Coturnix japonica: one gene and its partners. The protein of the gene in region 1 interacts with the protein of each later gene in a pairwise test. Links are inferred from orthologs where the notes say so. Each region holds a gene or a part of one and is shown in the gene's direction. Other genes may lie near its edges.

Region 1 (3,510 bases):
GTGACACCTACCAGTCTGGTGTCCCCAAAGTCCCTCTGCTTCAGGAGAGCTTTCTGAGTGCTATTTATTCACTTGCTGCCACTGGTGCTGCTCTGGATGAAAAAAATATGCCATGCTTTGTCTGGCAATGACTATGTTTTTCAGGATGATGCAAGCACGTCAAGGAATGCAGCCTTGGCTGCATTGGAGCACTCCTAACACTTTCATGGTATGTGCTGAGTGAGTGCACCAGGTTGATGCAGATCTGCTCCAAGTTCAGCCTTCAGACTGTTCTCAGCAACCTCACATGCAGCATCCTTAGCAGTGGAGCCTGCCGTCAGCTGCCACAAATGGACATCATTTCATGGCAGATGGGGCAGGGACGTGTGTAACCACCCTCCTCCCCCATTCCATGTCTAATTAATCTCTTCCTCTATGTATGTTCCAACTGTGTGTTCAGTGCTGGCTTCTGGTTCTCAGATCGTTCCATTGCTCCGCGTGCAACAAGAGAAGTTTTCTCTGTGAAAGTATTGTTAAGAACACAGGAACAGCAGCTCCCCATATCTGCCTTCTGCCTCACCCTGCCTCTGATAACCAGCCGCAGGCGCCTGGGATGGAGGTGAAGAGGTCTTGTAATGAACAGTTAGGAAAACAGCACAGCCAGACATGGGACGTGCCCGTGGTGGCTGGGTGGTGGTGCCTGGAAGCACCTCTGCCTGTCAGCTCTGGCTGTGCAGGTGCCTGTTGCAGCTGTCAGATCTTCTTTCTATTATAGCGAGCTTTGGTATCACTGACACCTTATAGCTGGGAGCTCCTTAGATAAGAATGAATTAGATTTAAGTTACTTGGTGTTCTCCCTCTCCTTTTAACAGGAGCAGACAGCAGTTTCCAGCTTTGCTGCCACATTGTCTGGGCTGCTCTCATACAAACTCATAATCTTGTTAATGCGTAGTATCTCTAGCTGGGCCCCGAATGATACATTTTCACTGAAGTGTTTGCTATTTCAAAGCTCAGGCGTCTTGTGGAGCTTCAACAAAGTCTGCACACTCTTTGTTTATAGAGCCTCTGCTGATGGGGATGGATTCCTGGGGTTATTGGGCTGAAACGATTCTCTAGCATTTCTTCCCTCGTGCTAAGAGTAAACCTGCAAGCTGCCAATTGCTGCAAGTCTGTTAGACAACTCCAGGAGCATTAGGGATGAAGAAGGCACCAGCCTGTGTGGGCAGAATCAAATTGAGCTTGCTAGTGCTTAGCAATGGATTGATTTGTGAATGGAGAGATCTTTCTGGGTCAGAGGGGGATCCAGAACCAGGGAAACATCGTACATGGAAGGCATGTTTTTCTTCAGCCTCACTGCTCAGGACCAAGGCTGCATTTTGTTATCACACAGATCATATTCTGCGACTTCTGTTTCCCTGCAAACATCTACTGAGGAGTATCTGTTAATTACCGTTCAGGGAAGGCACTGACTGTGGAATATTCACTCGGAGCTGCTGCCAGCACAAATGGAGTTGGACCAGCGGGGTGTGGAGGTGGTGGAGGTGTGTGTGGCCTGGGCAGTGGGCACAGGAGCAGCCTGAGCCATGAGCAGGGATCTGGTGGGTCTCCCCAGAGACTTTCCATCCCTGCAGGCAGAGCTGAGGTAGCAGAAGTGGAGCAGAGCAGAGGTGGTATTGAGCAGCACAGCGCTCCGGGGGCGGCGGTGGTTGGAACAGGCGGCACTTGCAGGTGGCCAGATGGATGCTTTTTCTGGGTTCAGTAATTACATAACTAAGGGCCGTGTCCTGGGTCTGTGCAGGGGAGGTTTTTTGTTATCCAGGTGGAGTTTGCCCTCATCCTCTGAAGTGGATGGGGAAAAAGACGCAAAACATGAGAATTTTGTTGTGGTTATTTTTAAATGAATTTAGAAATGCACGGTGCAGAAGGTGTGTGCTTAAAGAGGAAAGAAAATGTCCCCATCGTTCAGCAAACACAGAAACAAAGAGCAGTGCAATCAGCATGAGAAGTCTGTAGTAAATATGTGGCTTACCAGCTGGGGGTGCTGCACCACACCCTCAGAAGAATCAGTGGCAGAAGCTCTGTGTTTCTCTTGCAGATCATCAGAAGATGTGCTACTCTGCCCTGGTGCTGGCAATGATATTCTCCATGGGGGAACCCCTTCCATACCATCATTATGGTAAGAGCAGCCTGTGCGTGTGTCAGAGCTGGTCATGGGTTACCTGGGGATGGAGCTTTTGTGGGGAGAGCTTGGGGAAAGCTCAATGTCAGCAAGGTGAGATTAAGGTCTCCTTTTCACCACTGGAGTGTCCCTGCTGCAAACACTGAGCCAGAGATGCCAGGTTTTCAGAAAGAGCAGCACAAGCATTCTGCCTTGCTGCAGAAGCAGCAGTTTGCCCAGCACTGTGGCTCAGCAGCTTACTTGTCCAAATATTTAGTCATACTGGAGCCCTGCACTACAGCACTCACCTCTCAGTTGCCTCAAACACATTCTTTCTGTTGCTGACTCAGATCGCTCCATGAATGTCCACTAAATCCACCAGCTGCATCACATGGCCTCTCCCTGCTCTCCCTTGTAACAGGGTGGCACAGCCCTGTGAATTTCAAGTTCTTTGTGCGAGTGGAGATGATGAGGAGTATTGCAGTCAAGAGGGAAGTGCAGATGTTGCTCCAGATCTGCCTGTTTTACCCTTTCTTTCCTTTCAACCTTCAGCTAGAAGGTGCTCTCTGTGCTTCTTCCCCAGCCGTGTTGTGTCCTCAATAGTTGGGAAACTCTGGGTTTGGTTTCTCTAGGAATGCAATGAAGATTTTTATAATCATCTCCTCAGCAGCTTCACCTTAACACTCCAATAACCACATACAAGGTTTAAGCTTGTGCAGCGGGGACTGAGGAGCGAGTCTCCACATCTCCTGCTTTTCTCTCCTCATATAACCCTGGCAATTATTTCCAGCAGGTGGACTTATTTGCATGAGCTCCTGAGCTTTCCTAATAGCTAAATTGAAAAACGGGTTATTACTAATGATCTGGATGATTACTTTTTCTTTTTTCTAAATAGATGGATTAGACCAGTGGTCAAGAATACAAATCTCTTCCTACCTGAAGCCTTCATTGGTGCCAAGGGTGCTGGAACAGCAGCCAGAGCGGAATTTGGCATTCTATTTACTTGAATAATGAATAAAAAAAGCCAGTGGGAAATGAACAGTCAGCATTTGTCTGAGCTGTGGCTGACTGGGAGCCATTTGTCTCTTGCACAAAACCATTGGTTAATTTCCTGGTGGCTAACACTGCCACTCTAGTAGTGGCTTTAAGCCTAAAAGCATGAAGTGGCTCACGTGGTCCCTTGTTGCTTGTTGTACTTTACGGATGATGTAAGTGCCATCTTTATCCTTCTGCAGAACATCTCAACTCTCAGTTTGTGCAGTTCTTGCTGGATGTGATTGAAGACGGGCTGCCTTCAGACACCACCGACCAACTCCCTGACTTATTCATCAACGTCCTTCTGGCTTTCAATCTCCACATTCCAGGTCGGTTTG
Region 2 (4,173 bases), on another chromosome or scaffold:
TGTCATTGAAACTGCCTCAACACCAACCAGTGCTCTTGTTTTGATCCCTGTAGTAGTGTTAGCAGCTACAGGCCAAATAATAGATTCTGCTGGCAGACTCCGAAAACACACTTTTGCTTTAAAGTGGTGATACAAATAGCAGTGCAGCATTTCATGTTTATTGTCTGCTAAAGATTTCAGTATCTTATATGCTCTATTTCAAAGAAAAAAGCTTTTCCCCCCCCCCCCCAAATGCTGGTACTGGAAATTCACCAGAGATTCAAGGAAAAGTATAGTTTTTTTCCAGACTTCAGCATAGTTATAAAGAATATTGAGGCTGCAGGGCACTTTCTGCTCTGGCTTTCATCTGTACAACCCCTAGTGTCTTGAAATCCCGCCTTGCTTTCACCCACTGATAGAGCAGTCCTACAGGGCAGCCCCAGGTAGCAAGTATGTTTCTAAGCGGTAGGACCAAAGTGAATCTGGTACCCTCTCTTGAGTTCCTTTCTGGCTCAGATGTCAGTGCATCACCTCCAAACACCTTTGCCTGTACCTCCAGGAAAAACACATTAGGTTGCTTTTATTCTTTTTTCTTCCCCTGAAATATAAAGAGACATCTCCGCCAGCTGCATGGAGCGGATCTCACTCCACAAAGCGTACATGCATTGGGGAGGACATCCATTCAACCTTTCGCCACACAGACCTGAAGTCAGCAGGGAGGAGAGCATACAGGTGCCTTTGCAGCTGATTTAACCCATAGGCATGATTTGAGGCTGACAGCAAAGTCATGCTGTCCTTCCTCCAGGACTACCGCAGCTCTGAGAGTGACTCCGGGCACTGCGTCCATGGGAAAGACGGCGCCTGGGGATGCCGACAGCTTTCCCACTGCAGCCTGAGTGTTATTACTATGACAACCTACAGGTACGGATCTGCGCAGCGCCGGGAGCTCCGGCAATCCCTGACTGCATGTGCATGGCTCAGAGCGGGGTCTCCTGCCTAGGAGAGAGGTAAAAAGCACTCAGAGCCACAGGTGCCCCTCCCTGGCTCTGTCCTGTCGCTTTGGGGTGTAAGGCAGTGTGGGTGTTTAAGAGACATCAGCAGGTAGGATTTTTAATCATCTTCTCTGGGACAAAGTAAGAAGAGTGTTGCTTTTCTCCTAGAGTCCTTCTTCAGAAAATCACCAGAATATAAAGCTGCCCTTCAAACTCTGCCTTCCTCAGCCTGATTAAAAGGTAAAATGCTCCCACACCTCATGCATGCTGCATGCCTGTGTGTGTGCATGCATGCATACAGTACTTTCTTACACTACTATGACAGCACATGCTCCCCAAAGCTATTCAAAGCATTAGAAATACAACTCCTCCCTCCAGTGCCCTGTATGTGTGTGGCTGGGGCTTTCTGCTTTGCCTCACTCCCAGCTGATTGCGGGCTGATGGTCACGACTCTGCTCCTCACCTCCCGGCTTCACGCTGAGGAGAGAAGGATCAGGGAAGACGGAGAAGCCGGCACACAACTACCCTACAGAGCCGACGATAACTTGCTCCCCGCGCAGCAGAACCTTACAGGGGAGGGGAGGGAGGAGGGAGGAAAGAAGGGGAGGAGGAGGAGGAGAAGGAAAAAAAGAAAATCCAGAGAATTCTAGTCCTGCAAATGTGACTGGTTCAGAGTTCATTTGCTCGAGAAGAGCAGAGAAGAAAGAGGACATTAAATGAGAAAAAGCAAGAAAGGTCTGTAGCTTTTTTTCCTGATACTAGCAGTCTTTTAGAGGGAAAATGATTCCTCCGAGCAGCATGACTGAAGTCAGCGTGGACAGCGTGGAGAAAGAGAATGAAGTGGAGAGCACAGAGCAGCCCCCATCTCCAGCATCAACCACCAGCCAGGAATCTAAGGTACTTATATCTCTCTTATTTCTGTCTGTCTGTCTTTCCTTTTTCTTTTCTTTTTTTCCCCCTTTTTTTTTTTTTTAACAAATATGCATTGCTCTGATCTGTGTTTGAAGCTCAGTGGCAGGATCAGCAGTGGAGCACTGTGAGCCACCTCCGACTGCAGTCTGCTCTGACATTCCTACTACTGAATTCTCCCTGTCACCCTGGAGGCTCAGGGGTCTGAACTGGGGAACATTTGCTTTTTGAGATGGTTGGGTTAGGGGAATTTCGGGAATTTTCACCTCTTTATTACTCTAGGGACCTGGAGGAGGAAAGGGGGTCAGGGATAGGATCACTGCCAACAGGTGATTTTAGCTGTTTTCACACTGATCATCACATCACTTACAGGGTTTCTGTCAGTGGCTGGAATGATTTATTTTCTCATGTATCCAGAGAGGACTGTTTTGGTGGGTGACTTTGGATGTTCCACTTCCCTCATCCATGCTAGCAGAGCCATCAGTGAACTTTCACTGTTTAATGAGCCAGTAGTTGAAATGGGATGTAAGTGACATCTTTGGCACAAGAATCCTTATGTACACTACCCAGAAAAGGATGTTTTTATCCCAGCCTTTTATTTATTGATTACTAAATGTGGTTCAATTTACCTTAGTGGAAACCAACATCCAGCTCAAATGGCATGGCCACTACATTTTTAATTGACTAGTACAAGAAAAGTTTTCCTGCCTGCCAGTATGTGACCTGGAAGATTGAGTAGCACGGGAAGGAAAGTAGTATCCTGAGATAATGAATGTTCTCTGCAGCTTTCCTGGATAATGTGATTTTACTGATCCTCTGCTACTTACCTATGATTGATATCATGATAGCAGCTGCCAGATCTTCTTGTAGACTTCCACAGTGATGCTGTGTGCTGGGTAAACGTATCAAAACAGGGAGGTCCTCATCACTTGGAGCTGACAGCTGGGTAGAGGCTTAGAAAGTCCCAGGTGAGCAGAACAGCTGCCTGACAGGGAAGGTCTGTGTTGGCCTGAGTTTAAAAGGCGCTGGCTGCCTGGTATAATGTATGAAAGCTGCTGTGTTATTCTGCAGCTAAAACTAGGTTTCCAGAGTGTAAGTTGCAAGAGACTGTGTGGGAAGAATTCTGACGTAGGCTTTGGGATTTTTTTTTAAATGCTGTACTCCAAGGAGAAGAACTAAGGTATCCCCTATGTAAAACAACCTCTGTAAAAGAGTTCTCCCAGCAACAAAATCATTCCTTGTTCATGTTGTTCACTATATGCATTCAGCACTACTGGGACGCTGCTGCAGTCTCCCTGGTGAGAAGGGAAAGAGTAAATGTGATATTGGTTCAGCCCTAAAAGGATTCGGTTGACAGGTACCTAAATCCTCCCACAGAGTGCATTTCCCCAGAATTGTTGGTATTTGTCTAGTGGGGAGCTCAGCCCCCTAGTGAGGTCCCAGTAGGAACTGGTGCCTTTGCTGCATTGCCAGCATCAGGTCCTCACATGTGCTGTACTGTGTCTGGGCCAGGTGGGATGAGTGCTCCCTCTGCTCCCAGGCACAGCCAAGAAAGTCGTTACAGAGCTGAAGTGCTGCTCACATGAGGGATTTACCCACAGAGCACTCAAATCTCCCAAAATGAACAGACAGGCAGGAATCCTAAAAAAAGACAAAGCAAAGTGCTGCATGTAGGGATCCTTCTTGCTCCTTATGTATGCTCTCAGAAGGATGTCAGCAGGAGTTAGGCATATCTAGCCAGAGAGCAAAAAGACTACTAAGCAGTTTCTAATCAGACATTACCATCATCAATTTTTCCAGTCTTGAGAGCATTAGGAGTGATACACTGCAATAGGCAAAAGCCATGACTGTGCAGTTGATGCCATCACTTGCATACAGATATTTTAAGTAAACATGTAATCTGTGTATTCACATCTTAGAACTGCAAATAACATCCGAAACTGTTTTGTATTGTCATTTCAAAATATGGAATCCAAAGATCCCTCTGATCATTAGGTTAATAAGATTTTTTGTCCCAGTAAGCAGAAGGATGGAAAAATTATCAGTGATTTCATGATACCTTTTTCAAGAGAGTTTATGTACTTCAAAAGCCCTAACAAAGATATATGTCAGTGTGTGCCAGTGGCATGTGCATTAGCTTTCATTCCACTGCATCTTCTGCCTAGGGTGCTATCTTGTCAACCACGGAGGGTTTTGCTTTCTTGACATACCCTCTGTTGTGTAAGTTAACAGGTCCATGTCTTCTACAGTTACTGCAGATCAGTTTGTGCAGGGTCTAATTACCCCACAATAG
Region 3 (4,246 bases), on another chromosome or scaffold:
GATTGAGCGGCGACGAGAGGACGAAAATGATCTGGGGTGGAAGAGGATGGGAGGAAGGAAGAGTTAGTGATGGGAGGGAGGATCCCACCAGCTCTGCTCAGTGCATCCCAACACACTGCACACCTTGTCCTGCTTGATGACGTGTGACACCACCTCCCTGCTGCCGGTCTCCAGCCCGCGGTACGCCAGCTCCTCGAAGCCCAGCTTGTTGCAGTAGTAGGAGGCAGCCTGCAGCACAGCACGGTGTGTGCATGGCTGTGCGGTGTGTGCGGGGCCATTGTGTGCTCCCAGCACAGCCGTACAGCCCGTTCTGTGTGCGGTGACGCGTTTTTGCTTTTCCTTTGCATTTTTGCCCTGTGTGCACCCCCTGCATCCACCCCCCACCTTGCGCAAGGGCCCAAGGCCGTGGCCCCTGGCCAGGGCTGCTGTCAGCACACACACACACATACATGGCCCCACCATCCCCTGGCAGCCAATGGCCACCGCCGCCAGCCCTGCGGCCCCCTACCTGCTTGGCATTGCCCACCCAGAAGGTGATGGAGTGGAAGTGGATGAAGCGGCCTCGCTGGTGCTAAAGGGAAAGGGAAAAGAAGTTGTACAGTCCCTCCAGATGGAACTCTTCCCAATGCAATTCCTGCAGGTGCACCCAGTGACATGGATGTCACCATGGCCCCCCGCCATGATGATGTTTTGGAGTGTTTTGCATGCAGGCTGTTCTGCACACAGCGTTGGCTCCGGTCACATGGAGCAAAGTGGCTGCAAAACACCCAGTTGTCAGCCTGGAAGTGAGCCCAGGGGCATCTGGTCCTATAGAAACACGCAGTAGGAGGTTTGGGGTTTGGGGTTTAGGGTTTGGGTCACAGAGGAGGAGATGGCAGCTGCAACCCAAACCTGCAGCCTGTCCTCACTAACCCGCAGCGTTAACGATTCACCCGGCAGCAAAGCACCCAGCGCTGCTCCACCGCCACACTGAGAGCACTGCAGGGCAGCCATGGGGCAGCCATGGGGCACAGGACGGGGTGTCCCCCAGCAGGGAACCACTCACCTTTTCCCCTTTGTCCGTGTACGTCGTCTGCAAGAGAAGCGGGACAGGCGGTGAGTGAGCGGGCACTGAGCGCTCAGCGGGGCCGGGGGAAGCGTGTCCCCCATAAACGCTCCGTCCTGTGCCCGCTCACCATGATGTGACCCGCAGTGACAGCAGCACAGAACGCGACCCTGAGCGGGGCTGATTGATATAGAGCACAGCGGGGCTGATATAGAGCACAGCGGGGCTGATATAGAGCACAGCGGCTCCTCCTCCCACACTGCCCGCCCCGGGGGCACTGCCCGGCCATGGGGGCATCACCTCAATCACCTCCATCACCCCCCACATGGACACCCCCCCCCCATCCCCGCCCCCCGTTCTGCCCCCGCCCCCTTTGCTCTCTGTCCCCGCCCCATGTTCTCTCCCCCCGCTGCGTCTCTTCCTGCCGCCGCCATGTCGGATCGCGGTGGTTGCGGCTCCATGACTCTGAGCGAGGTGCAGCAGCTGGTGCGGCGCAAGGACGAGCTGGAGGCGCAGATCCGGGCGTGTTACCAGCTGCTGGACGATGTGAGCGGGGCTCGGGGCCGGGCTCGGGGCTCGGGGCGCTGCCGAGGGTCTCACCGCGGCCTTTCTCCCCTCAGCAAAAGGGCGTGGGCATGGACGGGCCGCTGGTGGACAGCGAGGGATTCCCCAGGGCCGACATCGACCTGTACCAAGTGCGAACAGCCCGGCACAACATCGCGTGTGAGTGGGGACGGGACGGGAGCGGCGTGGGGGACTCCTCAGGATGAGAAAAGGGGCTCGGGATGGACTTAGCGCTGCCTGCAGCCCCTAAGGGATGGTGCGGAGGGTGGGGTCGGCCTCTGCTCCGGGTAACAGCGATAGGACGAGAGGGGGCGGCTGCTCAGGGAGGTTTGGGGGCGTTCAGGAGCTGTGGGATGTACTGAGGGACGTGGGGTGGGTTGTGGGCTGTGTTGGGCCTTTAAGCCATAGCGATGCTGTGATTCTGCTTCTTACTGAGCTGGGTGCCACCCGCAGGTCTGCAGAACGACCACAAGGCGCTGATGAAGCAGGTGGAGGAGGCTCTGCACCAGCTGCACGCCCGCGAGAAGGAGAAACACGCCAGGGATGAGGCGGAGGCGCGAGCTGAGGCCATGAGCCAAAATCTGCCAACTGCCTTTGCCAAAGTCAACGTGGTGACACCAGAGTCACCCGCCAGCATCGCGGTACGTTGCTGGGGCTGCCAGTGGATGGGGATGGCTTCTTTTGTGCTTAAGAAGGGGAAATAGGGGATGTGTTGCTTATTTTCCTCTGCTAACAGGCAGGTATAAGCTGTGAGATACTGATTATTGTTATTATCCCACTCACACTTTCTTCATTCTGTGTTTGTCAAATATTCATTCACCTTCTCAACCAGTGCAGTTATTCTTGAATGTTCCCATGGAGGGAGCTGCCCGTTTGTGGCCGTGTCACTGGTTTGTCCCTGTGAGCTGGTTTGTCCCTGTGTTGGGATCAGAAATTGCATGTTGTCTGCTGCATCGTAGCACCACGCAGCTCTTACAAGGCTTATCTGTTCATTGCAGCCTCATTGTTTTCTCATAAAACAGAGCAGAAAAATGAGTGTGCCCTTGTTTCTAAGGGCATGGTATGATGTTCAGTTGTCTGAATGGTGAGAAGGGTGGTGTCCTAGCACAGCTTGTGCGGCTGGATGAAAGCTCCTGTGAGCAGGCAGTGTTACCTGTCATCACAGAACACAGACGTTCAGCTTCTTTCTGTCTGCCCAGGGTCTGCAGGTTGATGATGAGATTGTGGAGTTTGGTTCTGTCAATGCAAACAACTTCAAGAGCCTGCAGAACATCGCCACAGTAGTACAGCATAGTGAAGGGGTAAGTTTGGTTCTGCTGTAACTGCGTTCTCTTATCTCTCCCAATGAGTTACAGCATTTGCTGTGGAACGGCCAGAGAAGCTACCACAGCCATTGGGCTCTTCATAATGGAAATGAGAGAGCTCATCTTCTTTTTTTGCTTCTCCCAGAGACCTCTGAGTGTGACTGTGATCCGCAATGGCAAGCAAGTGCACCTGGGGCTGACTCCGAAGCGCTGGGCTGGGAAGGGCCTGCTGGGGTAGGCTGCCAGTCGGAGTGGAGGGGGCTCTTATCAGCTCAGGGCACGTCTCCTGCAGGAGGAACCAGCTCTGCTTCGCTCTGTGCTGCTCTGATGTGTCTCACAGGCAGAGTCCAGCTGAGAGCTGGGGTTGTCAATTTGGTACTATACGGGGTGATGAGTTGTATCAGTCATGGGTATGGGGCTGAAGATCTCAGTGGCTCCTTCCTATAGTAGAGGAAACCAATGGAGGAGGGTTGTGGTTGATCTGATTTGTGCTGTGTTGGATCATCTAAGCTTCTTTCGGAACATAGATTTAAATGTTTTCTTCCCCACTCTTCTTTTTCAGCTGCAATATCACTCCATTGCAAAGATGACCACTGCTGGGAAGACAATAAAGATGAAGCTTGTGCCTGCTTTCTGGACTCTGATTTGATTTGAAAGCTTGCCCTGTGACCTTTGTTTTTGCTGAAATGGGTGTTTCAGGGGCTGTGACCTCTGGGTGGCTGAGCTTGCAGGGTCTGAAGAGGTTCTGATGGAGCAGGACCTTAATGCAGTTGGAATTGCGCTGGTTTGTGAGGAGCAACTCACAGAGTTGCAGGAAGTGGCTTCTCATCTCTTTGTGCCTTGCGTCAGTTTGGAGTAAGGCTGCAGTGTAACTTGGATTTCACTTGATACAGATTGGGAAGAACATAAAGTGCTTTTACTTGGTGACAACGTGGCATTCCTTCATTTTTTCCTTGAAATTCCTCATTTGAACATCCTGTAAAGCAGGATACAAAGACCTGGAACAATTTTTCCTTCTTTAACTTAGTAGAACACACTCAAGAAACACACAGATCTGTTACTTTAACTCTCATGTGTTCATAGCTGCTGGAAATCACCAAATAAGAGAGCAATTTTGGAGTACCTAATTATTTTATTATGTTAATTGTTAATTGGGGGGATTGTTCCTGTTTGTAAGGTTGTTTCCAGTTGAACTTTGAAGTATTCATCCCGATGAATAAAGCTGAGTGGTGTCTCTCTCCCTTCTTGTGGAAGTTGCTGTTTGGGGGCTGTAATTGCAGGTAGGTTAAAAGTAGATCTGCAGAGACATGAAATCATTCTTCCCTGACCTTCC

Evidence for each region. The genes of interacting proteins can lie anywhere in the genome.
Region 2: the proteins of NCKIPSD (region 1) and STAC interact in binary tests that used the Homo sapiens proteins (3 or more experiments, as listed by UniProt). The link is inferred for Coturnix japonica from reciprocal best matches to the Homo sapiens genes NCKIPSD and STAC.
Region 3: the proteins of NCKIPSD (region 1) and PSMD9 interact in binary tests that used the Homo sapiens proteins (3 or more experiments, as listed by UniProt). The two-hybrid records come from large-scale screens. The link is inferred for Coturnix japonica from reciprocal best matches to the Homo sapiens genes NCKIPSD and PSMD9.

The regions. Positions count from the first base shown.
Region 1 is NC_029527.1:6,680,389-6,683,898, forward strand, and holds part of NCKIPSD (NCK-interacting protein with SH3 domain), read left to right. Parts: intron 1-2,074; coding exon 2,075-2,155; intron 2,156-3,372; coding exon 3,373-3,501; intron 3,502-3,510. UniProt on the Homo sapiens protein: Has an important role in stress fiber formation induced by active diaphanous protein homolog 1 (DRF1). Induces microspike formation, in vivo. In vitro, stimulates N-WASP-induced ARP2/3 complex activation in the absence of CDC42.
Region 2 is NC_029517.1:41,873,384-41,877,556, forward strand, and holds the start of STAC (SH3 and cysteine-rich domain-containing protein), read left to right. Parts: upstream 1-1,363; 5' UTR 1,364-1,751; coding exon 1,752-1,868; intron 1,869-4,173. UniProt on the Homo sapiens protein: Promotes expression of the ion channel CACNA1H at the cell membrane, and thereby contributes to the regulation of channel activity.
Region 3 is NC_029530.1:4,891,485-4,895,730, forward strand, and holds PSMD9 (26S proteasome non-ATPase regulatory subunit 9), read left to right. Parts: upstream 1-1,436; 5' UTR 1,437-1,438; coding exon 1,439-1,591; intron 1,592-1,665; coding exon 1,666-1,768; intron 1,769-2,062; coding exon 2,063-2,250; intron 2,251-2,808; coding exon 2,809-2,910; intron 2,911-3,058; coding exon 3,059-3,147; intron 3,148-3,475; coding exon 3,476-3,503; coding exon of another isoform or gene 3,504-3,562; 3' UTR 3,563-4,153; downstream 4,154-4,246. Other genes in the region: HPD (4-hydroxyphenylpyruvate dioxygenase), read right to left, coding at 1-31, 124-228, 509-571, 1,046-1,072, 1,176-1,178. UniProt on the Homo sapiens protein: Acts as a chaperone during the assembly of the 26S proteasome, specifically of the base subcomplex of the PA700/19S regulatory complex (RC).